Tamandua tetradactyla: one gene and its partners. The protein of the gene in region 4 purifies or fractionates together with the protein of the main gene of each other region. This does not show direct contact. Links are inferred from orthologs where the notes say so. Each region holds a gene or a part of one and is shown on either strand. Other genes may lie near its edges. The genes, in order: IRS4, TXNDC9, HAX1 and TUBA1A.

Region 1 (7,221 bases), on a different chromosome or scaffold from region 4:
TCTGCCTCATTAGCATTGCTCCCTGAAGCACTGGGAGGAAGAGGAGGAAGTGGCCACCTAGCACCGTCCAGAAATTGGGGGTTGGCACCTGGAATAACTCTTAAAAGATATGAGAGGTCGTTTACTGGATTTGGAAATGGCACTCCAAATTGTACATTCACATAATTAGAAAAGGCTGACTGTCTGGTGTTAGCAATTCTACCCCACGAATCTGGCGGTCCTTGAGTAGTGGGACCTGCAATATTGTTGTAATTTATAGTGAAGTCAATGTTGACATAGTCACTAGAGCTGTCTGCTTCTCTCTGCTCAAGTATAGGCTTTTGGGGTTTGGGCTTGATTTTATTTCCTTTCATAATGAAAGTAAGTCTGTTAGGTCTCTTAGCCTTGTTCTTTGGGGGCACATCATCTGAAGGTTTTGAAGGTGCCCCCCCATTTCCTGGCTTTGGGAACGACCCCTCAACTGAAGGCTCTGAATGTGCACCTTTGGGCCCCCCATTAGGTGAGGCTTCTTTGTCTAGGCCCCTTCCCAGGAATTTTCCAGGTGACATTGGTACATAATCACTGTACTCACTCTGTCCCAAGGGAGAACTCTGAAAAGGATTTGGCAGGGAGAAGTAGGAGCTCCAACTTTTGGAGGAAGAGCCACCTTGAGGATTTCGAGGGTTTTTTGGAATTGCACCAGCTCCAGGAGCCATAAACATGTAGTCACTGTCACTGTCGTTGTCCTTCGATTCATCTTCTTTATTAGGATCAGGTGCTTTTGGAGGGCTTGGGGCAGGTGGTAGACTCACTCTGGGAAACATCATCATGTACCCTCTGGAATCTTCAAAAGGTGATCGAGAGTGGCACTTTTTTGAAGCACAGACATTTCGAGGAGCCATTGGCATATAATCACTGGAGCTTGCGAGAGGGGCAGCAACCCCTGGCCTCATTAGCACATAGGGGTCATCCTCATCTTCTTCAAACGTGCTGGCTCTGTGAGGACAACGAGCTGCACCTTCTGGTGTCTCCACCTCTCTGACTTCTTTGCGTTCTTTCGTGGCTCCTCTGTCGGCACAAAAATAAAATCGGAACCTTCCCCCAGACTTCCCTTTTCCAACAGCTGCCCCAGGTGTTGGGGGTGGTGGAGGTGGTAACATTTGCTGTTGCTTGCTTTGAGTTAATTTGCCAAAGTAGGATCTTTTCTTCAGAGACTTTCCACGTTCACTATTGCCATCTGAACCTTTCCCATTTCCTGATCCCTTGCACTCTCCAGAGCCCTTACCACCACCTGAGCCACGGCCACCTCCAGGCCCTTGGCCACTACCTGAGCCATGGCCACCTCCAGCTCCCTGACTACTGCCTGAGCCATAGCCACCTGCGGTGCCCTGACCATCTCCTGAGCATTGGTTTCCTCTGGCGCCCTGGCTACTTGAACCCTGGCTGCCACTTGAGCTCTGGCCCCCTCTGGCCCTCTGCCCCCTGCTGGAACACTGGTTTCCTCCTGAGCTCTGGCTACTGGAGCCCTGGCCATTTCCTGAGCCCCAACTGTTCATGGGCATATAGTCCCCTGCACGTCCTTGCTGATCTTCCTTGCCCTGAGAACTGCCCTTCTCCCCACAGTTGCCAGAGCCAGGTGCTTCAGAAATCAGGCAAGATCCGTTATTCAGGGTTTCTGCAGGATTCGCCACACGCACCTGGCTGGGTACTAAGTGGCGTAAACAGTTGGCTGGCAATGAAATAGCTCTCCTGGACCTGCGCACTCTGGGCAGGTGCAGTCTTCCTCGCCTCGAGGGGTGCACAGGCTCGTTGGTTGATATGAAGGGCCTGGTGAGGAGCATCTCGTCTTCCCCGTCACCAATGGCCCCAACGTGGGAAAACTCTTCAAAGCGGGACCTTCTGAGCCAGCCACCGGACTCGAATGGACGCAAGTCCAGGTGCCTCCTAGCGGACAGCAGTGTTAACAGGTGGGTGCCAAAGTTGATGCTGTAGCTGCGGCAGCGGGCTCTGTATTCATCTGCACACAAGGCTCTCATCTTCTCCAAAAACAGTTCGTGCATGTTTTGGGCCACCACACAGTCATCTACCTGCATCCAGAGCTCCCCCGGACCGATGACGGTGGATCTACCAATTTCCAAGAAGAAATACTGTTCCGAGTGTCCGCAGCGACGGATGCTTAGGAGCTGGACGACCACACTGGCCACTTCGGTGTTCAGCCTTACAAACACTACCTCCTCGTCGGTAAGGCATAGCCGGAACACGCCGCTCAGCTCTTTTCTATGCCCCAGCCCCCTGGGTTTTACTACTACCTGCCACACATCTTTGTAGAAGGGTAGCTCCGCCGTCGCTGCCGCCGCCGCCGGCACTGAAGGCTCTCGGTCCGGCTGTGCGCCGGGTGTGCCGCAGCGGCGGAGCTTGCTCTCTAGGATGAGGCGGCTGAGCAGCAAGTACCAGCTCTCCTGCTCCGACTCGTTCTCAGCGACCATAGCGAAGTATTCGTCCTGGGTGAAAAGGGCAATGAGATGTCGATACCTTGCGTCGGCTCGCTGGCTCACCGAGAAGCACTGGTACAGGATGATCACGCGCCGTGGAGGGATGAGCGCGGGGACCGCGGCGCCTGAGGCGGCCGCCGCTGCTGCGGCGGCCGCTACGCGGACACTGTGCCGGAACTTCCTGGCATTTTCGTAGTATTCCAGCCTTGCTGGGGCATCAGCGGTCTCGAGTCTGAGCACGAAGTAGCGCCTATGTCCATGCTTCTGCTTCCGCAGGTAGCCGCGCTTGCAGATTTCGTTCCCGACGGGGAGGTCGTCCTCCTCAGACTCCGAATCTGATCGGGAACCAGTGGCTAAGGAGAGCCACATGGCTCCCGGACAAGACGGCCCGGTCCCAATGAGTGCGGTCGGGATTTCTGAGGAAAGAAGCAGGGTGGTCGCCACCTCTGCTAGAGCTGCTGCTTCTGCCGCTGCTGCAGCTCTCAGACTCCTAGTTGCTTGGTAGCGAGCAAAGAAGCAACTCGCCATGGTGATGCACGACGGTTTTAAGGTGAGCGAGGGGGAGGTGGCGGGGGCTTGGAGAAGAGGCCGACTCCCCCGTTCGCCTGCCCCAGCCCCCTCCCTACTCCGCTGCGCCCCCGCCCACTGCACTCCTAGAGCGCTGAGGCGGGCAAAACAACACGTGACCACGGCCTCACGCGGCGGCAGCTGCGGCTCGTGCCACCCGCCTTGTGGAGGGGCGCTACCCTGTCTGTGGAGGTGTGAGAGGGAGGGAGCGGCGGGGCTGCCTCCAGCCAGGCCAGGGCGCTTTAGGTGAATCTCCGGGCCGGCGGGCGCGGAAGGACCGACGGGAGTAGGTAAAACTCTCAGAACACGCTGGTCGTAAAGAGAAGGTCACGAAGGCACCAGGGGGCGGGAGAGGGTCGAGGGACGGGAGGATGAGAGAGCCGTGAGCAGCTGTAGCGTCCCGGTAGGGGAGCCGCCGACGGGGCGCGATTGGCTGGAGGGGGCATTAGGCGGCGGTAGGGGCTAAGCGCGAGCGCTGCTGGCGGCGCCATGGAGCTGAACTAGCGCGGTCGCGGGAAGGTTTGTTTGTTTATTTGGGAAGCAGGAGCCAGGTGTAACTGTTGCAGGGCTCCGATTGGTTAGGATGAGAACCAATGGGAGGGTCTGGAAGAAGGCGGCCCTGAATTCATTAGTTCAGGGGGCGGGAGGGGAGTTGAGGGGTGAGTGGGTGTGACTTGGGTTCTAGCGTGGGCTCCGCTCAGGCGGTAAACAGCCCTTCACAAGTAGCTGCTAATGGTAGTGATAAAACCGCACATCCTAGAGCTAGCTGCGGTAACCGGTGGACCGAGCCCGGCGTCCTCTTTGTCTCTGTGCAGCTCACATAAAGTTTCTGTTTCTGTCACGGTCTGGTCCACTCCCACCCTCCACGCGCGGCTGGCCGAGTGTGCTGAGAGAGCGTGTCGGTACCCCCTGCAAATGTGTTAATGACTCCGGCCCTCAGACCTGCCGCCCACCAGGCTGCCTGCGCTCCCAAACCCGCTCCATCCGTGACAAAAGCCTGCGCGACTCTAATGCACTCAAAAAACAGAGATGCCTTCAAAATGAGCATATTTTTCTTCTCAGAGCACATTTCTAGCCCATGAAACGCAGGTTCGCAAACGATGGTGTTTCTGACTTTTTGATTAATGATGGCTATGAAGGCACAAATTTGGGGACCTGAGAAGTATACAGCCATGTTGAAAAAAATCGGACTCGATTTTTACTGAAATTCACCAATCTTGCGCTGTCGTGATTATTTCCCCGTGGGAGATGTTTTGAAAGTCTCCTTTAAAAGAATCTCAAGACATTAAGTTGCCCTTTCCTTGAGAGAGCCCGAAGAAACTTTAGAAAAAGAAAAGCTCCTACCTAGAACAAAGGGCCAAACCGAATACGTATCCTAGAATATATTTCATATTCTTCGCGTCAAGAAGAGAATTTCAGTCTACAATCTGAGACCACAAAAAAAGCACTACTTCCTCCCTTATTTCTGGAAAAACAACTGGAGTGTAAGTGCAGCCTCCTCAAGTTTTCTGTCTGTTTCTCAGTTTGTCTTGCTGTGATTTCAGCTTCCTTTGGGCGGAGATGGGTCAAGATTACATTGAAGTGTCAAAGGAATGACCGCATTTGAAAGGGAGGTTTGAGGGAGGAACGGAGACATATGGTATATCGTATTCTAAAGAAATGGAATATCAGTTCACCCTTGCCGTAGGGTAGATGCTGCAAAGGGTATTATTTGTAAAATTTAACAGTAAACTAGGCAATGTGTGCATCACAAAAGTATACCCCATCCCTGCTCCCTTAAGAATTTGCTGTTAAAGCAAATGTATTTGGAAAAATTGCTCCTTTTTCTTTTTCTTTTTTTTGAAACTTTACGATGTCATTTTTTATCTTTTCTTATTTTAGAACATAAATATTGAATGCTGTAAATTCCACTCTAACAGTATAGTTTATACCCCAAAAGAAAGGTTCCTTTTTATTGTTCCCATTTGAGAAAAAAACAATTGGTTTTGATTGTCCCCGAAATATTATATTTAAATTAGAAAAAAACATTAACATTCCCTCTGCTGCCACCAATTTATCCCCACAGTATATTCATAGGTGCAGGGGATGAAAGCTGAAGGGTGTGGATGCTGAGTGCACTGCCTGGGGCTGCTACCTGCATGTTTCAGTTGCCTACTCACATACATAGAATGTTCCCTGCATTTATAACCAAAAGATAATGAATAAAATCATTTGGGATTTTTATGGTAGGTATTAATGTGTATTATAAGTCCTTCTGAGCACAGGATTTTATTTTAGATAGAAATGTGGAAAAGAAAAGAACGTACTTCAAGTAAAAACATGGCATTTAAAAATATGTTGAAAAATATTTACAATGCATGTTACATAAAATTTGGAAAATCCTGAAAATAGAGATTTAAAAATCTTCATATCCTATTCATTTCTGTGCATATAGAGTTTTTATGTATAGTGGTAGGCTTCCAATATATATAATTTTATATTCTGTTTTCACTTATCATAACATTTCCACCTATTATGGCTCAGCCTAAAAATCATTCAAAATGTATCATAACATTCCTTATAGCGAATGTGAATTAATGTACTTAAGCATCCCTCTACTTTGAGGTATTTAGGTTTTCTTTTTTTTCAATGTTATAAATAATGATTCAGTGAAGTTCTTCTACTTACAATTTTTTGCAAGTGCATGCACTTAGAATTACTCCTTGGGGCAGAAATTGAGGTGTGTAATTCCTTTGTTAAAAGGTATGAACATTTGATGAATTATTTTTCTAAAATATTGTATCAGTTTACCATGTCACAATACCCATTGCCAGCACTGGACAAGCTTATTTTTCTAAAAAAAACTCATAGATAAGATGGGTGAAATGCTACACCATTGTTCTTTTAAATTGTTTTTTTTTTAACTAGGTAGATGAACGTTTTCATATAAATTTGCAGACAATATTCTGTGTTCTATAAGCTGTCTTTTTATGTCCTTTGCTTTATCTATTGAATTTTAGTTTCTTATTAATATGTATGATTTGTTTACATAATAAAGATATTAAAGCTTCATCATATTTGTTGCAAGTTTTTCCCAGTCTCTTGGTGAAAAATACCACATTTAAGCCTGATTTTCCCTCTGTTTTGAAAGATGTGTAAACCACAATGAGGTTTGTAGCGCAAATTAAAAAGGAACTGTTGATATAAGCAAATGTCACCAAGATACTTCTAAATTTCTTCTATGATTTCCATATATTTAAGCTTATATGCCCTTTTAGAGAGAGAACTAACTTAGTTCTCTTGTATCAACAATTTATAAGGGGGCATTCAAACTAGGTAAATTTTATGTAGCACACTTAAACAGTATTTTATAGGACATTCTCTACACTAGGGGGAAACAAGTAGTGTGAATCAGTGCATTAAAAAAGAAGTATGACGTTAACTGCTAGAATATATATATATTTTAATACAACAAAAGATTAGCAGTGCCGATCACTTTGTACCTCAATGGAATTAGAGGTATAGTGAGATGTTTCATTGAGGGATTTTACTTTATATGTTTTCCAGAATGTGAGAGGATCTGAGTACTTGTGAGCAGGGAGAGCATCTGGCCAGAAGAACATAATTTCCTTCACAGAGTTCAACCAAACCTCAGTTATAAAAGTTGTTCCAACACTGAAACTCTCTGGAGGAGACCATCATTACTGAATTGCACCAGATGATACAGCTTATCTGATGTATATTTAAACATTCATATTCCTGGACACCTTAATGGTATAAAATAATTTTTAGTTTAGTTCAGGTTTCCATAGGCAAAATCTAGACAGTTCAGGCAAAATATGCTGACTGTATTTGGCTTGACCTCAGCAGATAGTTCCTCTACTTTGGTTATAGATATCTGTCTCTTAATTTTTTATTTTTATTTTTAAGACAAGTTATCCTAGCACTAAAGTAGTTTTACATATCCAATTATAACTTCTATAAAGTTTGGTCTCTGAGCCTATGGTCTGAAATGCAAATTTTTAAAGCAACAGATAAGTGGTAATAAAACCTACAGTGTTTCTTAGTTTCCCATGTTAGTTGAGGGGAAAAAAACCCTCAACCATTACCGCTGGTATTTTACACCTAGAAACTAATGTAATATTTTAAACAGCCGCAATATCTTTAAAACAGATACCATTTATTGAAGAAATATGCCCCAAAT
Region 2 (7,456 bases), on a different chromosome or scaffold from region 4:
TTAGATACTCAGATTTAATAATAAAATCTAATTTTAAATGAACACTGTATGGCCAAGAAATTTAATAAAAGGATTAATTAAATACAAGGCTATACCATTGATTGTACACTTTGGATGAACTATACAGCATATGAAGATATCTCAATAAAAAAAATTTTTTTTAAATACAAGGCTATAGGATTAAGAACAGCTGAGTACTTTATTTTCTTTCCAAAAACTGAGATGTGGCTCAAAGCTTTATCTCTCTCTTGTTTTTTTTCTTTACCTGGGCAGGTACCGGGAATCGAACCCAGGTCCTCTGGCATGGCAGGCAAGCATTCTTGCCTGCTGAGCCACCATGGCCCGCCCTCAATGCTTTATCTTGATAACTAATAAGCAGCCGTTCATTTCACACACAGTTCAACCTGACCAGAAACAGTTGGCATAGGATCACATGAGAGAAGGCAACTAAGAATGACAGTAAAACCTTTAAAGTGAGGATCTTCATGAAAGATAGTAAAACCAGATAGAACATCCCATTTCATGCAAGCAAGATAAATCCTAAAATAGGACTTTCTCCTTCTAAACTTGTTTTCCATGTTGCATTCTTGTTTCTTTTACAAATATCATTTAACTACACGAAGTAAAAGCAAACTGATTTGGAAAACAGTGGAACTTTCTCCCCATCTCCCCAAAATATTTTCCGTAGAGTGCCAAAATAAAAAAGCCAAGCCGTTCTGGTCAAAGGGGCCCCTCTGCAAAATCCTACAATTTCTTAGATACAATTTGAAAGCCACTCAAGCAAAGAATTCTGGAAAGGAAAAGGAAGCAAAGAATTCTGGGAAGGGAAGGGAGGGGAGAAAAATACAATCTTCATATTGGCATATGAAAAAATATGTATGTTTTTCAATTACATTGCCACTACTTTCCCTTCAACATGAGCCAAAAAAATAAAGACTAGAGATTAGCATGTGTGCTGCGGATGAAGGGGGAAGTAGTATTCCTTCTCCACTATCAAATCAACCACTTGATACCGGCTACAGTGCCTGCAATTAAAACTTTACACCATGAAAAAGGTAGAATGGGCATAGCCCAAATATCCCTAAAGAGTGACAAAGATCAAAGGGAATGGTGGAGTTATAAAGAGAAGTAGGGTTTAATAAACGAGCAGACTGCTGAATCATTATATCGGTATTTCTTTAGTCTTCAATATCTTAGAACAGTTAAAAGTAAAAACCTAAAATTGTGGAAAGGCAACCCATACCAAACTGTGAAATGTGTTCTACAACTAATTATTGCTCTGTGCTTTGAAATTTATTGCTATTTTGTATATATGTCATTTTTCACGAACAAGAAAAAAAAAAGCCAATTGTGATGATAAGAAAGTATTTATTCCTTCTAGCCTCCAATGTTCTGGAGCAGCTAGAAGCAAAAATCCGAGATGAAGGTATGGTAGCACGTGACAAACTCTGTGATCTGTCCTGTAACTACTTGTTGAAGAGTACTTTGAAAACTACTGCTTTTTCTTTCTTTACTTTGTATATATGTTAATACAAAAAAAAAGTTAAAAAAAGATTTACACCACCTATGAAAACCAACGAATCATTAAGAAACACTACCTTTTCTCTAAAAATATACAAACAAGAATAACATCTTTTTTCCACTATGAAAAGGCATAATAAATAAAAAAATTCTGGAAAGTAGAATAACATATATGCACTTTTTATGCCACTAACTTCTGTAATCCTGATCCAAACCAATTAAAATACATACACACACAGAGTTCTCACCTGCCACACCAGAGACCCAGGTTCAATTCCCAGTGCCTGCCCATGCAAAAATAATAATAATATATATATATATTTATACACACACACATACACACACAAAATTGTGGGAAATTATTGAATAAATATTTGACGATATTTAAGAAATCATGTTTGTAATCCTAAGGCTTGATGAGACTGACTTTGTTTCATGTTTTTTTTAACTTTACTTTATCTTTCAGATACACCTGAAAAATCTACAGATGAAAAGATACTGAGAACTGCAAAATACCCAGCAGGTATATGAAACAAGGTTGGTTATGTACTAACAATGCTTGAAGTTGGGTAATATGTACATTTTTGTGTGTTTATTTGAAAATATCTCTCAGTAAGGGAAAAACAATCTTATGCGTCAAAAAAAAACCGCATCAAAACTACAGAAACTGTGTTTCTGGCTACTGTTTCTTATTCATCAGGTTTGATTATCAATAAGTCTATTCTCCAAACCAAATTAATTTTCTCCAATAAATCTATAACTGAGTTACAAAATTCACTTTAGTGTCTTTAATTCCACTCATTAGCTAGATGAGTGCCAAGTGAAGAAACAATCTAGAACTCCAACTTATAATTAGTACTTATCTGAGCTTCATGCCACATATCTATTTTGAGTCAGAATGATCAACTATTGGGATTATTTTCTTTTACCTTCTCTCCCTCTTGTATCTGAACTGTTTGATAGATAGGGTACAAAGGGGAAAAGTACCAGATGTTGTTCATTCCCACGAAGTAAACTCTTTCAAAGAAAAGGGTTCAAGGACTCAGTCGAATGTGACATAGATGTTTTAAGATTCTCCTGGTTAAGTAATTCTACGTACTCCCCTTACACTCCCTCCTCCAAAAAAGCCTTCATGTGGTTAGAAAGGAACGACCCTGGTTGGTCTAGTTCATCTACTCCTCCTCTCTTAGGGGAGGTGCTAGAGAGCAAAGAAACGACCAAAAGACAGGCCGGAAGAAGGAAAGCGAAAAGCACGGAGTTTGGACAATCAGCCCTGAGATAATTGATAACTATACCCAAATTAGATGAAGTTAAGAAAGAGTAGGCTGATAAACGCCTCTCTAACGCCGACATTCTTGACAACTCACAGTGCCGAAAAACTCGGAGGCACATATAACAGCTTGGGAGTCCCTTCCCATCCAAGTATTCACAGGTACAAAGGCTTAACCAGAATTCTTCCCGGCCCGCGCTGTGGAGAAGGAAGGAGCTCACATCCTTTCCAGAAGCAGCTCCGCAAAAGTAACTCCCGCCCGCCCGAGCCAGGTTGGCCCGGTCGCCCGAGACCCTCCCCGCGCGGCTGGGAACCCCCAAACGACTGCCCCTTTCCGAAGGCCAAGCGGCGCCTGCTGGGGACCCCTCTCCCCAGGCCGGGCGAGGGCAGGTGGGGCAGAGACCGGGCGGGGAAGACCAGCCCGCCGTCGAGGCCCTCCGCGCCCGTCCGGGACCCGCGCCGCCCACGCTGGGCCCAGGCCCGACGCCCCACGAGAGTCTCGCCGCGAGTCCCACGCCCGCACCCAGCCCCCACCCCCACCTCCGGCGGGACTCGCGAGTCCCAGTCAGCCGCGGGGGCCGCCGCCGTACCGACCCAGACAGTGGCTACCTGTCTTCACTCTTGTTTTTCTGCTTCTTCCCCATCGCGTGTCAGCGACGCTCGTGGCCTTGCCCCCTTTATCCGGTTTCTCGCGGACCCACTGCGCCCCGGCCGACTCTGGTGTCCACTCAGCTTCGTCCCCGCGAAGCTGCCGCCCCTCGCACCCGGCTCTCCACAGACCCGCGCACTGGGACAGGGCACATATGGTGTGAGTGCCCAATGCGCATGCGCGTCGCCCCGCCGCTTCGGCGTGGGGACGCAGCGCGCGGCTCATCGAGAGTGGCGCTCGGGGTAGAGCGTCTCCAGTTGGCCGCCGGACCGCCGGGAGTCCGCGCGCCCCCTGCCCGTCGATGCCTCGGGTTCTAGAACCGCGGGCCGGATAATGAGGCTGTCAGTCCCGCGTCAGCCCTCGCTCCTCGGGAAAAGCCACCGGGATTTAGCACTCGGTTCAGAGGAGGACTTCGGGCTTCTCTTCCACCTTTCACCCTCCTCGAAGGAGCCGAGAATGGGCTCTGGATGTTCCCGAGGGATACGAAATTCCAGCCCAAAATCGGGGCCGCTTCCAATGCCCATTGGTTAGGAAATACGCAGTCACTAAAGAAATCATGAGGCGAGGACGTGCCCACCAATTTACCCCGAGAAAGGTTTCGATCTTTATATGCAAAGCAAGTTCTCGTGGTAGGGAAGTCACGAAGGAACGTTCCGTGACCCGATCTGGGCTGCTGTACCACAGGGTTATGTAGGTGCAAGTCATATTGCGCCACCTAAGTGATGCCTCCACTGTTCAATAAACTGAATGGAAACGAACTTTGAGGCTCACTCTTGAGCAAGATCGAGACTACCTCATTTCTGACGTAGTGCTATAATGAGTACTTGGGCAGGGCGTGAGGTCGGACACTCAGGGTTGGGGACCCGGCGGCTACGGGGCGCACAGCAGACAGCCTCGTCAGCACGCCTTTCCTTGGACCCAGGCGAAAAGCAGCAAACAGGCTGGGAAGGGCGCGCATGCGCAAAGGCGCTCTCCGCCCGCTCTGCCGCCTCGGGCGTTTCAGGATGTATCGCGAGAGGGCTACAGCCAATGAGGAGGAGGGGGCGCCGGCCGGCTTGCAGCCACCCCCTCGGTGTGCGAGGGTGAATCCCGGCAGGGACCCTTTTCCGAAGCGGCTGCTCCGTCCCGCCTCAGGTATTACCGAGAGCTCAGGTGAGGCGGGGAGTGGCGTGGGAAACCCGCCACCGCGTCCCGACGCTGACGGACGCATCACCGTCCAACATCCGGCCGGCGCGGGGGAGGGGCGCGGCCGGACGCGGGGATCGGGGCGGCCGCGGAGGTTTTGGCGCGTGCGCCGGGGCACAGTTGAAGTGCTGAGGGCTGTGCCTGGGTCCGGCCCGTGGGGCCTGGCGTGCATTTGTGAGTGAGGCCCCTTTGTTGTTTTGGAGGTACCCACGGGAGTCAAGGAAATGGTTAGGTCATTGGAAGACTCGCGGTGTTGCTTCCCACCCTCCTCCTTTTGAGCGTAAAAAAGGGAAGAAGCGGAGGTTGGTGAAGAATGAAGTTAACGCGACCGCTACGCCGTCTCCTTTGACCTCCTCTTTCTGAGTGCGGCGACCACCGCCACCTGCCTCCAGAACAGCTCTTGTTAATCGTCTCTGTTCCTAGTTATCCCAGAATTAAATTCTGGGCTCATCCTGTGAAACTCCAGGGATGAGTGTGCGCCATGCCCCGAGTAAGAACAGGTTCTGATGTGCAAATCAGCGCCTTCATACAATCTTCTGGCTCATCTAGATCAGCTCCAGCGTTGCAGTGTGACTGACGGTTTTCTTCGGAAGTGTGTGTGTGTGTGTGTGTGTGTGTGTGTGTGTGTGTGTGTGTGAGTGGAATTCTTTTCTTGTATTTGAAACAGCTCCTTTTCAATTTTATAGCATTTATGGGACGCTTTCAAATTGGTTTTCTAACTTGATATTTGTGACAGTTTGAGCAGAAGCTAGGCACTTGTCCATTCAACATTAAATAGTTATTGAGCATCTACTATGTTCCAGGCCCTGTACAAGTAGCTCTGGGGATACAGAGATGAATTCAAGTGTATTTTTCATCTGCTTTTCCTGTAAGGAAAAAGAAAATTACAAGTAAAGTTTGCAAGGACAGTATTTCTCTTCAGTTTAACAAAATTTAAGGCGTCTCTGTAGGCCAGGCTCTCTGTCAGAGGTTGAGTGAGTTCGGTTTATTCACATTTTTTATGGTGCTTCAATCAAGTTTACAAATGTATCAGTTTGCACGAACTCCTGCTTTGATAGGCAAATTGTAAAACCTATCTTCATGGCAGTTAGCCCAGGAATTCAACTAAATAACATTGTTACTGGTAGAAAATAACATTTCTCTTAAAATATTTGAGATCTTCCTTTCTAATCTGAATTAATTGTTGGAAGCAGACAAATTTTTTTACTATTTTACCCAGAGGACTAACAATGGAAAATCAGTTTTTTTTAATATCTGTAGTGCTGTATTGTTTTACATCAAAGTTAAGAACACTGAGTGTCAGTAAATCAATACCTCTATCAGTTTTTGCGGCCTCATAGATTGTGTTAGGTAAGGGGAAAATAGAAATGGAAATAACACGCATTGTAATGAGATCTTCTAGGAGGTAAAGAAACTAAATTCGTTTGGGTAGAGACCATAAAAAACTCTCCATTTTGCTCGACTCTGTGCTGTGTTGAATCAAATTGGTATGCCTGGGAATGTGTAAACCTCAGTACAAATATGTTATTTCACAGTGATTTCTGCTTTACTTTCCTTTTCCTTTGGTAAGGAAAACTGATTGTCAGTAAATACCACTAGCTATAATTCCAGCTATTAATTTCTCTCTGGTCTGGTGATTGTCTTGAATACTAGCATTTGCCTTTTTTTTTGCCATGGGTAGGCACCAGGAACGAGAACTCTGCCACTGACCTGCCATGGCCCACCCTTGTATTTGCTTTAGTATAGCAAAACACAAATTAAGTCAGAAGATCCTAAATTTTGCTATAAGTAGTTTTTTGATTATATGACTGTAACGTATTAAAAATTTTAATTTAAAATTCTTAAGTTTAACCTGATGTGTATGGGTGTCAGCAGAATACTCTGCAGTACAAGTATATATATGCTTGCTAGAATTTTTGAGAATGGGAGAGAAGACTTTGTGTATTTATATTATTTTTTTCTAATTTTGTAAATCTTCCCAGCCCCAGGGCTGAATTGTACCATTTAGAAGAAGAATGGAAGGCGATGCATCTGTTGGCATGCTTTCAAAAGTCCTGGAGAATCAGTTGCTTCAGACTACCAAACTAGTGGAAGAACATCTGGATTCTGAAATTCAGAAACTGGATCAGATGGATGAGGATGAATTGGAACGCCTCAAAGAAAAGAGACTTGAAGCACTAAGGAAAGCTCAACAGCAAAAACAAGTAACCTCTCTGCCCTGCTTTCTGAAATTGCTATAACAGTATGCTCCTAAAAATTATATATACATGTGCTGCAGCAGTTAAATTCGGTCCTCTTTTTTAGGGTCTTTGAATTGAAAGTACCTACTGCTATTAAAAATTTGCTAAAAAAAAGAAAAAAGTTCTAAAGACACATTCAAAAATTAATCTAGTCAATTTATTAAACCACAGTTGAGTGAAAGAGAAGTTTCCTACCCAAGATCATTTTCTGAGCTCAGATTTGTTTGGTTGAGGAGAGAGTAAATCAGGAAGAGCACTGAGAACACTAGGAGTCGGCAGTTTCCATTTCAGGTAGAACTAATGTCTGTCATAATTTAGCTAGCTTCAGTGTAGGAATGGTGCATGAGATAAGAGCTATGGGGCAATTCATGTTGAAGAAATTATTTCAAACATTTCCAGTGTAACATTTATATGTGATCTCTTTATTCAAGGGAATGCATGCTGGGCACCAAGAAAAATAGCCACAGCTCTATCCCTGTTGTTCTCCTAGAGTGTATAGAACAGACTCATAGTTGTATGCTTACAGAAAAAATATGCACAAAATACGGGGTTCCCATATACTACCCTATTATTAAAAGAAATACTTTTTTT
Region 3 (7,451 bases), on a different chromosome or scaffold from region 4:
ATTTGCCCTTATGTGTCATGTTTATTTCACTGCGCATGTTTTCAAGGTCCTTCCACGTTGCAGCATTTCTCAGAACTTCATTCTGTCCTACGGCAGAATAATAGTACAACGCAGTGTACATGTAACATTTTGTTTACTCATTGATGGACTAAAAACTTTTTAAAGGAGAAAAATATCTATTACTGTTTGTGCTCATTATATTTTTCTCTAACACACAATAAGGAGGTTGCAAGTCAAGATAATTTGGGAAGTCCTAGGTGTGCTAGAAAGTAAGACAACCTCCACAAAACAAAGCCAAGGATCTAGCACAAATAAAGGTTTTATTGGTCAGTCTGGGTGAGAAGTATACTGACATAACCCCAATTCACTGTTCCACAACCCCCAGCCCTCTGTATGGCAGGAGAAGCTCAGCCCATTATTGGTGAGCAACAGGTGGGATGTAGTAAGGAAAGAAGGCCTCTGAGGGTTACAAGGCTACCGGAACCGGAACCAACGTCCAAGGAATAAATCCAAGATGGAAGAAGCATCATCTAGGGCTGGAGGTCCTGGCAATTCTGGAAGAATACATACACACAGATAGGCTAAGTGAGCGAGTCCGTGCAGGGGCAACGGAGAGGAACACCATTAAAGGGCAGGAGAACAAGGGTTTCCCTTACCCGGGGAATTAAGAGATGAACCTCTTGATTCATGCACTTCACTTACCATATCTAGGACTGCCGTCTCCTTCTTGATGGGTTACTGTGGTCTTGGACCGGCCCTCACTGTCTACCACAGTCCGGCGCTCCTCCACTGTCTACAAGGAGTCCCCCAACACCCCTCATGTCACTAAAAGTGAGTTCAGTAGTTTCTTTACACAAATTCCTGTCTCCAGAGCATCCTCTGGACACAGTTTCCCTCTACCCCTCTCTCCCAACTCACCCCGTCTGGCTTAGTGATCTTGGTCACAGAGAAGCTCTTGAAGTATGATTTTGGCTGGGGTTGCAGAACTGGGCCAAGGCCCTCCTGGGAAACCTGCGAATCAAGATCTGAAAAAACAGAGATGAAGAAACAGGGGAAAAGAGTCCGAGGGAAAGAAGAGTAGAAGTACAGCAATAAGTTCAGAAGGGACAACAGAGAGAACTCTGAGACAACAAGAGAGGGCTGGTCAATGCCTCCTCCCTCCAGACTCACCATTGTCCTCTTTGGCTCTAGGATGTGGGGTCACAGGCCACATATTATCAAACTGTGGAAGAAGTCACAGTAGGTGAAAAGACACCTTTCTACCTAAAATTTGAAGGATCATGGCCCTAAACTACTCCAAAGTTCTAAAACCATCTTTCCCAGGAGAAAGAATTCCATTCAGGCTAGCTCGATTTACCCACCCCCCCTCCTTCCTAGCTTTCTTTTATGTAACCCTCTACCAAGAAGCTTTCCTGAACTGACACTTTCTGATCCTCCTCCCACAATCTTGCCTTATCCAGTAATTACCTGGACTGATTATTTAAAAAAAATTTTTTTTAAGAGACAGAACTTCCATTCCCTGCCCCCCCTCCACGAAAAAAAATTCTTATAAGAAATTCAATATACAAAACAGATAAGCACACTCAGTGGAGAGCCCAGAATTCCAACCCAAATCTATCAGTTTCCAACAAAGATTCCAGTCTTTGCACTCTACTTAAAGTCTTTCACAGGCTCTCACTTCAAGTCTAGATGTGGTACTCACCCTATGAAAAGGTCTCTGGAATCCCCAGTCTGGTGTTGATTTGGGGGATTCAGTTCCTGCGCCACTCTCCAAGACCCCCCCTAAAATCCTGGACTGGTGACTATCTGGATACTTAAGCATTGAGTCCCGAAGCGTCTCTCCCCCCTGCCATCTCTCACCATGGGTCTCTGACTCAGGACCTGGAAGTTCTGCAGAAAGGTGACAGATCAATGCTGGGCAGGTGAAAGGACGTGGGCTCTTTAAACTTCCTGAAGTTATCTTCTCACACTTCTCATCCCCCAGCTACTCCCTGAACGTTTCTTACATTGCCCACCAACCCACTAGAACCCATGAGTTCTCCCTTAGGAGTATTCACACACCAGGAGAGCGGGAAGGCAAGGTCCAGGCCCCCATTTCGCTGAAGATGCTATTGAAATCCCGTATTAGGTCATTAAAGCCGAAGTTATCATGGAAACGTATTCCTCCTCCTGGGCTGAAGCCAAAGCCAAATTCCTCAGGGGGATGGGGAACCCCAAACCTGGAGCTTCCATGGCTCCAAGTGTCTCCTCCTTCTTCCTCTTCCTCATCATCCTCATCTTCATCTCGGGTCATCCCGCCAAAAAAGGGATCTCTGTGGCTGGGGGTGGAGGTAGATTGGCCAGCAAGATTTTAGTATCATCAAGTGTTTAGCCTTTAATCAACTCATGGGTGGCAAAGTAGGGCAAGAAGGATCTGGTAGGTTGGGGAGAGGGCTGGCTGTCAAACCAAAACATGACAGCTGACAGTTTTTGTTTTTTAGTTTTTATCAAAGTCAGTCCTCAATCTCGCGGCTCTCCCCAAGCCCTCACTGCCTTTTCTCCAGTGTTCCCCAGACCCTCCCCTCTCTCCCAAGGTCCTGCTCACTGGCTCCTTGTCTTTACTTCTAGACCTCCACTGTCTTCCCCGCTCGGACCCCTGTTGCATCACCCCAGGTTGGAAAAAGAAGTGCTGTTTCTTCTCCTCTTAACGACCGCCTTGATTACTGTCGTGGGGTGAGTGCTGTATGCTGCGACTTTCGTCCTCTCAGCAGGAATGGGAAGAGGGTTTTTCCAAAAGGTTGGGTGTTAGGAGTCAAGCTCGCCTCAGAAGAATCCCCTTATCCGACCCGACCCACTCTCACCTCCGAGGTCCAGAAAATCCGAAAATGCCCCGGAACAGGTCAAAGACACTCATTCCCGCTTAAGAATACAAGCCTTGAACACCCGCCGGCAGCTCATTACACCGGGATCCAGCCGCACTACGCTACCGGAAAGCGAGTCAGACCAGGCTGCCAGAAAGCAAACCTGTGGCCCGGGCATGTTGTCGTAAAAGGGCGATAAAGGACGTAAAACGACGTGGACGAGAAGGCGGGGCGGACAGCCGATCCTCCTCAATCTCAAAAGGCTTTCCCTTGATCATCTTTCACAGACAAGTTTGAAGGTAGTGGACATATTTTCCCCCCAATTATCCAATTCCGGAATTATCCTATTTCGAATTTTTATTTTCCAATTATCATCTCCCTTCTAAGCTGTATCTTCTTTCCGCTTACCAGCCCAGTCCAAAAAGATGCTTCGAGAGTTTGATTGGATTTTATTTGGATAAAGCCGCCAGAGGGCAGCGCAAACGCCCAAATTGAACCTATGTGCGCATGTCCCTCACCCCTGGCTCACCACATCCAGAAGCCACCTCAGTCCTTCAACCTATTTTTTTACTGACCTGGGTTGTCTAATATAGTGGGTAGATAAAAGGTTTTATCAAGCCCCTTCTCGCATCGAATTACCCACAATTAAATAGATAAAAGGCATAAGGATACATAGATTTATAATTTCTCAATTCCACCAACCACCAGGGAATGTTATAAAATATTAATTTTCTGAAATAGGCTCCGAAGCCAGCAGAATACAGGATTCGTAAAAGAACACTGGAAGGAAAGGTAGTGAAGGAGTAAAGAAAGAATTTGAGGTTTTAAGTATTCTCTTTTTCATATCATAGACTACTTTCAGAGCCTGTCTTCATCCCTCACTCCAACCTCCACCCCCTGCCTTGTTCTGGGTTCCTTTTCAGGGGACTGGGTATAGCTATGCAACACCAAAGCACTCAAGAAGGAAGAATTACTATGTTCTTCCCTTAACGGTAATGGACCCAAAGCTTAAGTTCTGAAAGCCAACAGTACATGTTACCCTCACTTCTTTCAGTTTGCTTGGACCCCTGCATATTTTGACCCCACAAAGTCATTCCTTTGAAACAGTCTCAGCTCCTCCTTACGTCTTTCCCTCATCACCCAATCTCCTCTATTCCTCTCCCTCACTGCTTGAAATCTGTTGTAGATGTATCAGTTTCTGGAGGGAATGAAAAGTTGTGGTGCTTCTTTCCAGGCACCAGGCTGTAAGACTCTTAAGGATTAAAGGAAGGGAACCCCGCAAGGGCAAGACACTAGCACATTAAGGTCAGAGAAGGGCGAAGATTTCATTTTATTCCACTGCCTTTGAGGGCCTGCTAGAGAAGGCCGAGTTGGTACAGTAACACTTATTCACCAAGCTGGTCATCGACGAGACTGAGGATATCCTAGACGGAGCAAGAATGGGCAGAGGCTGAAGGTAGAGGTTTTCTTTTTATATATACAAGACACATTAATCCATTAAATTTGAGGACACAGTACAAAAAAAAAAACAAAAAAAAAAAAAACAAAAAAAAACACTTCAACGAATTCATCTGACAATGCTGTTCATATTCATGACGCCGTTTTTTTTTTGTTGTTGTTGTTTTGTTTTCCTAATAATAAAGGAGGAGACTTAGGGCTGTTGGGCTGATATATATTTGGGGGTCCCACCTCCCCATCTCACCCACACACCACCAGGGTGAACAGGAGGAGGAGAAGGAAGGGCAGGGCCCACAGCAGAGTTTCATAATCTTGAATGCATGGGGTAGTGGGGAAGAGGAGGAAGAGGAAAGGAAGGAGAAAAAAAAAAAAAAGGAAAAAATACAAATCCTATAATACATACAACAGGGTGGGGATGGTATGGGAATGGGACAGACATGAAGCTGAGGCATGGGGAGCTCCGCTGGGGGTGGGGGGCAGCAGAATCCCCCAACATTCCTTTTTCTCTTTGATGCTGTTTCCATAGTTGCCAGGCTGAGAAGCCCTCTCAGAAGATGGGGCCAGGAGAAGAGGGTCAGGGCCTCAGTTGGCCCCCCAGCTGTAGCTGTTGTAGGCAGACTTGTTGGTCTGGGGCTTCTGCGGGATGGAGCTGGTCTGGCTACGTTGCCCGCTGCCCGTCTGCAGGGGAATGGGAGGATCATGGGGAGGAAAAAGGTGTCTAGTTAGTGGGACAAGTCTGTGAGATCTTCACATGGAGATGTGGAAGTTGTCTTACGCTCCCATTCCCCTTGCTTAGAGGCTACTCTGAAGCCCAACCATGGAAAGTTCTGATCCTCCGAGTGGTTAGATCCCCTCTCTGACCAGCACAAAGGCACTTTCAGCCTTTAAATAGTGAAAAGATGAAAAGAGGGCAAGATACCTTTGGAAATGAGATGGTGAATCAGTTCTACTTATTTTCAATACCACCTCCCTCATCCCATCAGCCGCCCCTGCTCTGGGAAAAGGCTACTCTTTTCTACAGAGAATTACAGCCTCTCGGAGATGAATGATCACTAGTTGATTTCATTTACACTGATCTCCTCCATGAATGCCTCTATTTGGAAAGCTGTCTATGGAGGCAAGAAAGCCCCTAATCTAGCTCCTCAATCACCTACAATGGAGGAGAGGTCTTTTACACCATCCCACAGCTCCCCATCCCTACCATAAGTCACATCTGTGAGCCCTTCCCTTTTCAGGCAAGGTAGGAAAGAGAGTCTGAAGTCTCAGGGCTCTAGATGCTGACCCAAGAATCCTTTCCATTCCAGTAATCAAGTGTATACCAGAACTGGATCAGGGTGTAGAAGAAAAAGAGGGTGCTGAGGGAGGAAAGGAAAGAGGAAGGGGAGGCCAGAGAGCTCAGCAAGGTGTTTGTGTTTGTGTATCCCGATTTGTGACCGCGCAATCTCTTTTCTCTTCAAGTTCCCTGAGGTTGCAAAGATGAAATGGGGACTGAAAGGGAGTGGGTTCAAGCATATTATCATTCAGTTTCATTACCTGCTCCTCCTGCTGGCGCTGGCAACAGAGAATCATCTGCAAATATGGTAGCTGAGGCAGAACCAGGATATATGGAAAATAAAGGGACAAACTTTGACAATAGAACTCTACCATTAGAAGGGAAAGCTATAATGTTGGGGCAAGGGGGAAGGCTGGGAGAGGTAGGAGGGGAGGTGTGACCCAGGTCTGATGGGATGAGGACAATTGTGCCATGGGAGGAGGTAGAGAAAGGCACCAATGGAACTGAACAAAAAAGGTTTCAATCTGGCCCCTTCTCTGACATCTCCTTTGCCGGCCGCTTGTGTTATGTGCGCTTGAGTCTGTATGTGCTGTGTGCCCATGGCTGGCGCTGGGGAGGGACTGGGTGAAGGTGGTGGTGAGGAAGGGTAAGAGAAGGAAAGGGGAGGCAGTTTTAAGGGATAGGAAGGAAAAGGAAGGGAAAGGAGTAAGGGGGAAGGGTTATTACCTGGCCATCCTGCTGCAGGTGATGGTGAAGGATCTGGGAGTGTGGCTGCTGATGGGGGGTCAGAATGTGCATAAAGGGGGCAGGTGGGTAGGCAGCAGCTGTGGCCGGGTTGATGGGCCCCCCACTTCCTAGGGCTGAAGGCAAGTTGAAGGAGGCAGCAGGAGTACCGGAATGAAAACCTTGTTTCTCAAAGGACTGCTATCCAGGAGAATGGAGGAGAGAGAGTAAAAGGGATCAGCAAATTTATGCTTGGAATCTCTAAGCCCAAGCTCCCCAACCCCAAGAAAGCAGCATTCATGTTATACAAGGAACAATGCATCTGAAATCAAAGTCCCAGCTCTGCCCTTAATAGCAGCATGATTCCTGGGCAAATTACTCAATTTCGCAAAACATAAAATGAGGATGCTATTGGTCTACTAAAGTTTTGGTTGTAAGGTTCAAATGAGGATGGAAGTAAAAACATTTCTCAAAATCTAATGCTCTATATGAACATAATGAAATGTACTGACTGCTTTTAACAACTCCACCTCTGCAGTTGGGTAAAATTAGAATTCCTGTTAATATTTCAAAATGAGTACAAACTGAGGTGTTTTAAGTATTGAGGGTCTTGGCCATGAAGCTCTCCCCTAAACCCCTATTACTTTATATCAATCTTTTAATATTTATGATGATGGGGAATAAAAAGCAATACAAATAAGACCACCTGTGGATAACTCTAATGCCTCGTTCTTTAATTACTGAGTTGTCTTCTTCCCCACTCTTTAGTTTTATTATTTACTCACAAAGAATGGGATGAAATAGTTTCCTTTCATTCCATACTCATTCTCTCAGAAAGTTATGAGAAGGGTTGGGAGAATAGGAAAGTAAAGGAAAGGGCAAGAACAGTTGCAGACCCTCGCCGTTCAGCATACAAAAAAAAATTAAAAATTAAAAACTTTAATTAAATCTAAATATAATTTAAATATAAAAATATTAAAAACCTATTTACAATTTCATCCCAACCAAAAGGGGGAAAAGAAGTGTAACTAATAAAGTATCAGTGGCAGAGAGCAGCTACTCTGGAGGTTGCTCTTACGCAAGCTTCAGTTAGACACTGCTACCTATCATAACCTGCCAACCCCCAACCAGGACCATTCCAGCCAATCCTAAAGAAC
Region 4 (7,796 bases):
GGTGAACCCAGAACCGGTTCCCCCACCAAAGCTATGGAAAACCAAGAAGCCCTGAAGACCTGTGCACTGGTCAGCCTGTTAGAAAAGAGAAGAATAGGGAAAAGATAGTTATTGTTCTTTGTGATACACGCACAGTAAATGTATTTTCATTCTTCATACATCTCCAAGTATATAGATATTACTTTGACAATAAACATTTTTTAAATGTAGAAATTAAAATTACTCAGGAAATTACTCAGGATTTATTAATTTAAAAAATCTTCATTAATATTTTTAAAATGATACCATATCATTCATGTTTTAACTGGGTTTTTTAAAAAACCTAAAGGAATAATTCATCTCTTTATTATATTTCAATGTTGTGTTTGAAAAAAACATTTATTTCAGATGTCTTCCTTAGGTTCATTACTTTACTGTATTCTTGAGAAGAAACACATACCAGTTTGCGAATTCTGTCCAGAACCAGGTCAATGATCTCCTTGCCAATGGTGTAGTGCCCGCGGGCATAGTTATTGGCAGCATCTTCCTTGCCTGTGATGAGCTGCTCAGGGTGGAAGAGCTGGCGGTAGGTGCCAGTGCGGACTTCATCTGGAAAAGGAAAGCAAAGCGCAACCCATCATTAACAACCTGCACAAGCCTACTTAACCCTGGGGCATAAATGGAGCGTCCAGGACAGACCTGTCCCAGACCCCTGCAATCTCACTCAGGTTACTGACTTCCACTCACCAATGACTGTGGGTTCCAGATCTACAAACACTGCCCTGGGCACATGCTTGCCGGCGCCTGTCTCACTGAAGAAGGTGTTGAAGGAGTCATCTCCTCCGCCAATGGTCTTGTCACTTGGCATCTGGCCATCGGGCTGGATGCCGTGTTCCAGGCAGTAGAGCTCCCAGCAGGCATTGCCAATCTGGACACCAGCCTGGCCGACATGGATGGAGATGCACTCACGCTGTGCAAAGGGAAAAAGAAAAAAATGTGAAGTTAAGCTGTATTAGCATTTTGAATTTTCAGTATACAGGTATTCTTCAAAAAGTTTTGAGGTCTTATCCCTAACATAACAGAAATAAGTAAGAAAAAGCACCTGCTACAACTGCGGCAGATGGGTGTGGTCCAAATGATAATGTGCCTGTTTAGCACATGGTACAAACCCATTGTTCCCACAGTCATGCTTGAGTAAAGATTTTTCTTATTTAAAAATACACGAAGTATAGACTTAGTAAAATGAAGTAAATTAAATTAAATGCTAAATTAACTGGAATTCACTGCTTCCTTCCCCTTCTAATAAAGATTAGGGTTTTGCCTAAATGAGACTTGATGTCTAACATTGACATCTGCACTGCAGCTGGGGCTAACTGCCACACCCATCTGCAGTCTATCTGCAGAATTCATGGATACTAGGAGATGAGAAGCTAAACAAAGTCTCCTGGCATTGCTGCATTGCTGCATTTGCTGTGCTGGTGCTAACTTGTACTGTCTGCTACATTATTTAACAGAGCAAGCTCTATTTTCAGCAACCGCCTACATGATCTCATTGTGCTGTTTTGCCAGTTTTCCTTCTCTGACCCAGCCTGGGACCAATGTGCCCGAATTGAAATGAATTAATGAAAAGGCACTAGAACAAAAGACATCTGGATTCAGAGTATAATCCAGTCTTCTTTGTCTGCAGAAATTTAGTTACTTAAAAAAATGCTTTTTCCAGAATCTTCTCCAGTTTAAAAAACCTGAAAAATTATGTTTAAAACAGCAGTTCCTAAATTGGAAACAAGTAACACAAGAGAAGCTACCAAACAAAGGATAAAAACCCAGTGAGACGATAATGAAATATTTATTTAAAACAACAAAATATTTTAATTCTGAGATTCTCTACCCACTACAGAATATTTCATACTCATCACATTCCGTAGATTTTCTTCTCTATGTCTTTAAGACAACTTTCATTGTCTATTCATTGTCTAGTATGGGGGTGGGGGTGGGGAAGGGCGTTTCCCTGAGTTCTGGCCTTATAGTGCCCTGGCTCACAAAGTGCCTTTCTCCCTCGGTGAACGTAGCCCAGAAGGACGGACGCACGCAGACACACAGACACACACACGTCGGCATCCCCAGACCAGACACTTAAGGTCTTGTCAAAAGTGAACTGTGATTTTGCTTTTTAAGAAAAATATATTTCATCTAAGTTTTAACAGTGAATGAAAAACCTTTTAACGCCTACAGTTTCGCAATGATTAAAAGTTTTTGTTAGAAGTCTTCTCCTTTTACGAGGGCGAACCCCGCCCAGTGGCTGCAACGCTAGAGAAGCAAGAAACAAACAACTCCGCCCCTGCGCCACGCTTACGCCGCCGGCGGTGGGATCCAACAGAAACTAACAATTTTATCCCGTTACTATTCGGGGGTCTGCCTAGTATACCAACGAATCCGCGAGAGACCTTTTTGCATTAATTGAAAATTTTGCTTTTCAGACAACTCCCCTCCCTGTTCCTGGAATACGAAGCGACAAAGAAAAGAGCACATTCACCGACATACAAGCAGGCGACGCCACGATCGCCTTTTTCCGGCCCCAGACCTTTTCATCTTCGACAGAAGGCCTCGGCATTTCGCCCGTTTGCGGTACTGTAGGGCTCGGGTGACAAAAGCTCCCTCCCCGTCGCCTTTGTTCCCCCCCCCCCCCCATCCTTCTCTGCGCTGTGGGCGCAGTTCTTGCTTGGCTCCCCCACCGGCACTGCGACAGCCAGCCTTAGAGCTAAACCTCTTAAACAAAGCAAAGAGATTGCGAAGGAAAATAGTTTAAGGTTTTCCGAGTAGAATGGAGATCTGATCTTACCAAACTGCCGCAGAGGGCCGGAGAAAATAGATACTTACCATGGTTACTCCTTGGCGGCTGCAGAACAGATGGCGGAGACGAGGAGGAGAGGTTGTTGCTTCTTACAGCGCGACTCTTAGGCGGTCGATGTAAGAGAACCTACGGCACATGGGCGAATGCGGCTCCCTATATACAACTCGGTCACCATGGGAATGGACCGGGGCCTTTTCCTGTTGGTCCAGACCCCTCAGTCTGCCCAGAGAAGCCACAACAAGAGAGTGGTGATTGGTGCAAGCGACATGGGATGAGGTAATCTCTCCCCCACCCGTTTCCCCCCAGCATCCATAGACTGTTTGCATCCTTCAGACAAAGAGACCAAGGAAAAGGAGTCAACCGTGTATCCATGATGGGGTGGGGTCGGGGGGAAATGGGAGGAAAGAGGAGTGGGGTTGAATGATTTTATATTTCACAGTCAAGCTACAGTTAAAATCAACCATATAGAGGTTTTTTTTTTCCTACACTTAATCACAGAATGTGAGATGAAATATTTAATGGAAAATTAATCCCAATCTCTCCTTGATAGTATACTAAGATCGACTATATTCAACGAAGATTCAATATCCCTAATTGCTTTTAAAAGGAAGGAGGAGAATATGGGAATACAGTGTTTTTGTGCATGATTTTTTTGGTAAACCTACAAGTTCCCTAATCAAAGTTTTTGTTTTTGTTTTTTTTAAAAAAATTAAGTAGGAGAGAGGATGGGAGTGATGCTTAAAATGGCTTCAGTAAACTGGGTTTTTTTTTTTTCATTTTAAAAATATTCAGTAATAGAGCCATTCCAAATGGTTTCTTGGGTGAAAGTATTTTATTTTCAAACCTTCGTTTCCACCCCTTCCCCCATAGCTGAACAAAAATGAAGGAGGAAAGAATGACCATACTAACAAGGCAGCGCACAATAGTGTTAACTTGGCAGTATTTGGAATTTAACATAAATAGTGAAATAATCTACTGGAAATAGTCTTTTACCAGAAATCTATGTAATGTTTTTTGTGTGGCATATTGTCCCTAGAAATGAATCATTGTCCTGATATAGAATTGAAAAAATACAAGGAGAAAGAATTGAGTTCAGAAGCTAAACTACCTGTGTGTGTGGTTATATTTCTGCATTGTTCTCTTTTTTGGAACGTAATAAGCAAAAATAATAACTGAGACACCAAATTAAAAAGAGGAGATATGTAACGTAAAGAGAAGACCATCTTGAAGTGTTACCTCCATTCACTGTTTTGTAATGTCAGCTCAACAACTGCATTTCTTTTTTATGTAGTTCTTATGTGAGTTCAATAAATACCCTCTTCTGCATTTGGCTTCTAACTGTGGGAATTGCAATCAGTCTCACACGGTTGCTATTCAACCAGAAGCTCTGGTTGTTGCTCAGTTGCCCACTGGGGACAAAAAAGGCTTTGCATTCGCCCCCCACGAAATGGATTACAGTAACATTCTTTTGCTATTTAGAAAGTTTCCATTATCAACAAGGATGGGCAGTGCAGAGTAAGTCTCTGGCCTGAGTACCAACCTGACTTGGCTGATGAAATTTCATAATTTAAGAGGTTATTTTTTGCCACTAAAGTTGGAAAACTGTATTTAGGCAGATAATGTTTCCTTTAGGTAACAGATTTTCAAGGTCTGCAGCATCATTTACAGTGCTGTGCAGAACACATTCATTCCTGCCTGTCTGGTAGGCAGAGCAGGTTATAGGAGGGAGGGCCTAGAGGAGACAGCTGCTGCAGGTTGTGGTGTGTCAGTGGCGGCCATGAATTTTCCCAACCTACCATCTACAGCTCTGTTTTACTTGTTCTAGTCGTCTCTTAAAAACAAAAACAAAAACAAAAAAACCCAGCACACAAGTCATTTTATCTACTTTTTACATATTTCATAGGAAAATGTTGCTCAACATAATTTTATCTCTATCCCGTTAGCAAATAAAAGTATATTTCAATAAAGAGAAAGGATTAAGGATGGCTTGAATCCCATATGCTTCTTTCTGAACCCAGAATTACATTTAACCACCAAAAATAAGAATTAAATGGTAGAGGGGAGCATAAAGACTTATAAGTTACGCATTTCTTTCAAAATCTAAATGATGAAAGATATAAGACAGGGCGAGACTATGGTAAAATGAATAAGTTTCCTTTTGGAATGAGAGGCACAGCCTTGAATTTTATTTTCTTTACAATAGAAAAGGTTAAGAAATATATCATTTCTGCATTAGTCTCAGTTCTTTATACGGTTTACGGAAGATTGAATAAAAGAGAGGAGGTTCCTGCAGCTGATTCTTTGTAATTCTATCTCAGAGCCATTCTGTGTCTTATGTAAATGAGGTGTTTTTTTTTCTCTTGGGCATAAGTAACAATAAGATATAGGTCAGAAATACACTATTTGACAACTGGTAATCTATTAAATATAAAAATGCAACAGCATGGGGAAGTAATTAATTTGTTCTTTTTGTTCCTCATTATCTGACTTAATAGCACGCAAAAAGTATGTTTTTTATTAGTTCACGTCTTATTTTTACTGCCAGTTCCTGACATCAGTTTACGTGTAAAAGTAATCTGTTATAGATTTGTTCCTGTACATAGTAAGATTAGTATAAAATATTGCTCTTTTGAGGTATTTGTGGAATTTTGTTTTATTTATTTGCATGTCTGTACCTTTCCTCCATTAAAATGTGAGTCCTAGTCCCTAGGAAAGTGTCTAGCATAAGTAGACATTAATTACATATTCTTTGAATTAAATAATTAAATGGACAGCTTCTCTCTGTGCATATTTCATTTACTATTATCGTGGTGAATAATTTAAAGGTCTTAATAGAGTATGTTACATTTTATATTCAACACCTATTTATGAGAATCTACAGTGAGCACCAGTGTGGGGAATTCAGAAGTAGTTGCATAGACATTTTTCCCTAGAAAAATGGAAAAAAATTTTCCAGTCGAGTTGAAGAAGTAAGACATGTACATGTGTATTGGCTTGAGACTGACATGCTTTTGTATGTGTAGGGTGATGGAACATTTGTAGACTCCATTGCAAGGTCCCATATATCATAACTTATGTAGGAAACAAGAGAGTTGTCTAACACATTTTCTTCTATTTCTTCACCTCCTGTTCATACCTAAATCCATTCCCACCTGAATTCTGCTCCAATTTCCCCTTGAAACCAAATGTCCTCCACTTTTGTTGTTAAATCCGCTGCACAAATTTTTGTTCTTGTTGACTTCTGATAAACTTTGCTTCTATTAACTATTTTCTCTTTCTTGAGACATTTTCTTCCTTTCATCTGCGTTTTCCTGGTTTCCCTCCTACATCTTTGGCTGTCTTTACTGGTACCACCTCCTTTTTCTAAACTTTAAATGTTGACATTTCTAAATGTTCAACTCTAGCCTTTTCTTCATTTTATTCCATGTTCCATAGATGATCCCATACATTCCTAGAATAAACACATTCACTCTCAAGGTATCAAATGCTTTTTTTATGTTGATGATTTCTCAGCATCTCTTCTTAGCTCCAGATCATATAGTAAACTTCCAACCTCTAGCTTGATATTTCACAGATATCTTAAACTAAACTAGTGGTCTTCTTCCCAAACAGGCACTTCTTACAAGGTTCTCTTGCTCAGTAAATGGAGCAGCATACACCCCATCTCTCAAAAATAGAAACCTGAGAATTATTCTTGACCCCTCCATCTCTTTTTATGAATACCACAGAATCTGTCATTAAGCCCTGTCAAGTCTATCTATTAAATAACTCTCAAATTGTATTCTTTTCTCTCTGCCTTTATTGCTTCCATTTAGTGCATCCTTTCTTGCCTGGATAACCTCAGTAAACTCCTAGAAGATTTTCTGCACATTCACCTCTCACTTCTAGACCCCCCACCCACCAGCAGCCACAGTGATCTTATTAAAGTACATATTTGATCATGTCACTTCAGTAACCTCCTAGAAGATTTTCTGCACATTCACCTCTCACTTCTAGACCCCCCACCCACCAGCAGCCACAGTGATCTTATTAAAGTACATATTTGATCATGTCACTTCACTGCTTAAAGCAGTGCAATGGCTGTGGATTAGTTAGTTTTTTTTTTTTTTTTAACTTTTTTTATTGTATAGTATATAACATATACACAAAGCAAAGAAATAAAACAGCAATAGTTTTCAAAGCACTCTTCAAAAAAGTGGTTACAGGATTGATCCCAGAGTCTGTCATGGGCTACCATATGATACTCTCATATTTTTCCTTCTAGCTGCTCCAGAATATAGGAGGCTAGCGGGCTTAAATACTTTTTTATCATCACAATCGACATTTTTTTTCCTTCTTTTTTTGTGAACAATAACATATATACAAAAAAGCTATAAATTTCCAGGCACAACAGCACAATTAGTTGTAGAACATATTTCAGACGTTGACATCTGGAGTTTGTAGGTTTCTAGCAAGTTACTCTAATGCCTGGAACCCTTGTGGAATCTTATATATTGCCCTAGGTGTTCTTTAGGATTGGCTGGAATGGTCCTGGTTGGGGGTTGGCAGATTATGACAGGTGGCAAGGTCTACCTGAAGTTTGCATAAGAGCAACCTACAGAGTAGTCTCTCGACTCTATTTGAACTCTCTGCCACTGGTACTTGATTAATTACACTTCTTTCCCCCCTTTTGGTCAGGATGGAATTGTTAATCCCACGGTGCCAGGTTGTGATTCATAAATACTGTATGGGGAAAATTTGGGGAGAATTGATATCTTAACTATATTTAGCCTTCCTATCCATGAGCAGGGAATGTCTTTCCACCTATTTAGATTAGCAATTTCTTCTTTGACCCACTGGTTATTTAAGAGTGTGTTATTTAATCGCCATATATTTGTGAATGTTCTCATTCTTTTGTGGTTTTTGAGATCCAGTTTCATCCCATTGTTATCAGAGAAAGTGCTTTGAATAATTTCAATATTTTTAA

Evidence for each region.
Region 1: the proteins of TUBA1A (region 4) and IRS4 purify together in Homo sapiens (affinity purification with mass spectrometry; 3 studies listed by BioGRID and IntAct, with this or other methods). This does not show direct contact. The link is inferred for Tamandua tetradactyla from reciprocal best matches to the Homo sapiens genes TUBA1A and IRS4.
Region 2: the proteins of TUBA1A (region 4) and TXNDC9 purify together in Homo sapiens (affinity purification with mass spectrometry; 3 studies listed by BioGRID and IntAct, counting the BioPlex papers as one, with this or other methods). This does not show direct contact. The link is inferred for Tamandua tetradactyla from reciprocal best matches to the Homo sapiens genes TUBA1A and TXNDC9.
Region 3: the proteins of TUBA1A (region 4) and HAX1 purify together in Homo sapiens (affinity purification with mass spectrometry; 3 studies listed by BioGRID and IntAct, with this or other methods). This does not show direct contact. The link is inferred for Tamandua tetradactyla from reciprocal best matches to the Homo sapiens genes TUBA1A and HAX1.

What each region holds. Positions count from the first base shown.
Region 1 is NC_135353.1:62,443,974-62,451,194, reverse strand, and holds the start of IRS4 (insulin receptor substrate 4), read right to left. Parts: upstream 3,005-7,221; 5' UTR 3,000-3,004; coding exon 1-2,999. UniProt on the Homo sapiens protein: Acts as an interface between multiple growth factor receptors possessing tyrosine kinase activity, such as insulin receptor, IGF1R and FGFR1, and a complex network of intracellular signaling molecules containing SH2 domains.
Region 2 is NC_135343.1:4,925,731-4,933,186, reverse strand, and holds the start of TXNDC9 (thioredoxin domain-containing protein 9), read left to right. Parts: upstream 1-4,443; 5' UTR 4,444-4,574; exon of another isoform or gene 4,575-4,592; intron 4,593-4,687; exon of another isoform or gene 4,688-4,799; intron 4,800-4,808; exon of another isoform or gene 4,809-5,115; intron 5,116-6,607; 5' UTR 6,608-6,640; coding exon 6,641-6,829; intron 6,830-7,456. Other genes in the region: EIF5B (eukaryotic translation initiation factor 5B), read right to left, coding at 3,401-3,435. UniProt on the Homo sapiens protein: Significantly diminishes the chaperonin TCP1 complex ATPase activity, thus negatively impacts protein folding, including that of actin or tubulin.
Region 3 is NC_135330.1:7,218,550-7,226,000, reverse strand, and holds HAX1 (HCLS1-associated protein X-1), read right to left. Parts: upstream 3,006-7,451; 5' UTR 2,894-3,005; coding exon 2,841-2,893; intron 2,319-2,840; coding exon 2,062-2,318; intron 1,891-2,061; coding exon 1,703-1,890; intron 1,223-1,702; coding exon 1,171-1,222; intron 1,026-1,170; coding exon 919-1,025; intron 794-918; coding exon 703-793; intron 555-702; coding exon 475-554; 3' UTR 302-474; downstream 1-301. Other genes in the region: UBAP2L (ubiquitin-associated protein 2-like), read right to left, coding at 4,881-4,976, 5,832-5,882, 6,298-6,495. UniProt on the Homo sapiens protein: Recruits the Arp2/3 complex to the cell cortex and regulates reorganization of the cortical actin cytoskeleton via its interaction with KCNC3 and the Arp2/3 complex. Slows down the rate of inactivation of KCNC3 channels. Promotes GNA13-mediated cell migration.
Region 4 is NC_135333.1:110,096,275-110,104,070, forward strand, and holds the start of TUBA1A (tubulin alpha-1A chain), read right to left. Parts: upstream 3,005-7,796; 5' UTR 2,860-3,004; coding exon 2,857-2,859; exon of another isoform or gene 2,687-2,856; intron 950-2,686; coding exon 727-949; intron 589-726; coding exon 440-588; intron 76-439; coding exon 1-75. UniProt on the Homo sapiens protein: Tubulin is the major constituent of microtubules, a cylinder consisting of laterally associated linear protofilaments composed of alpha- and beta-tubulin heterodimers.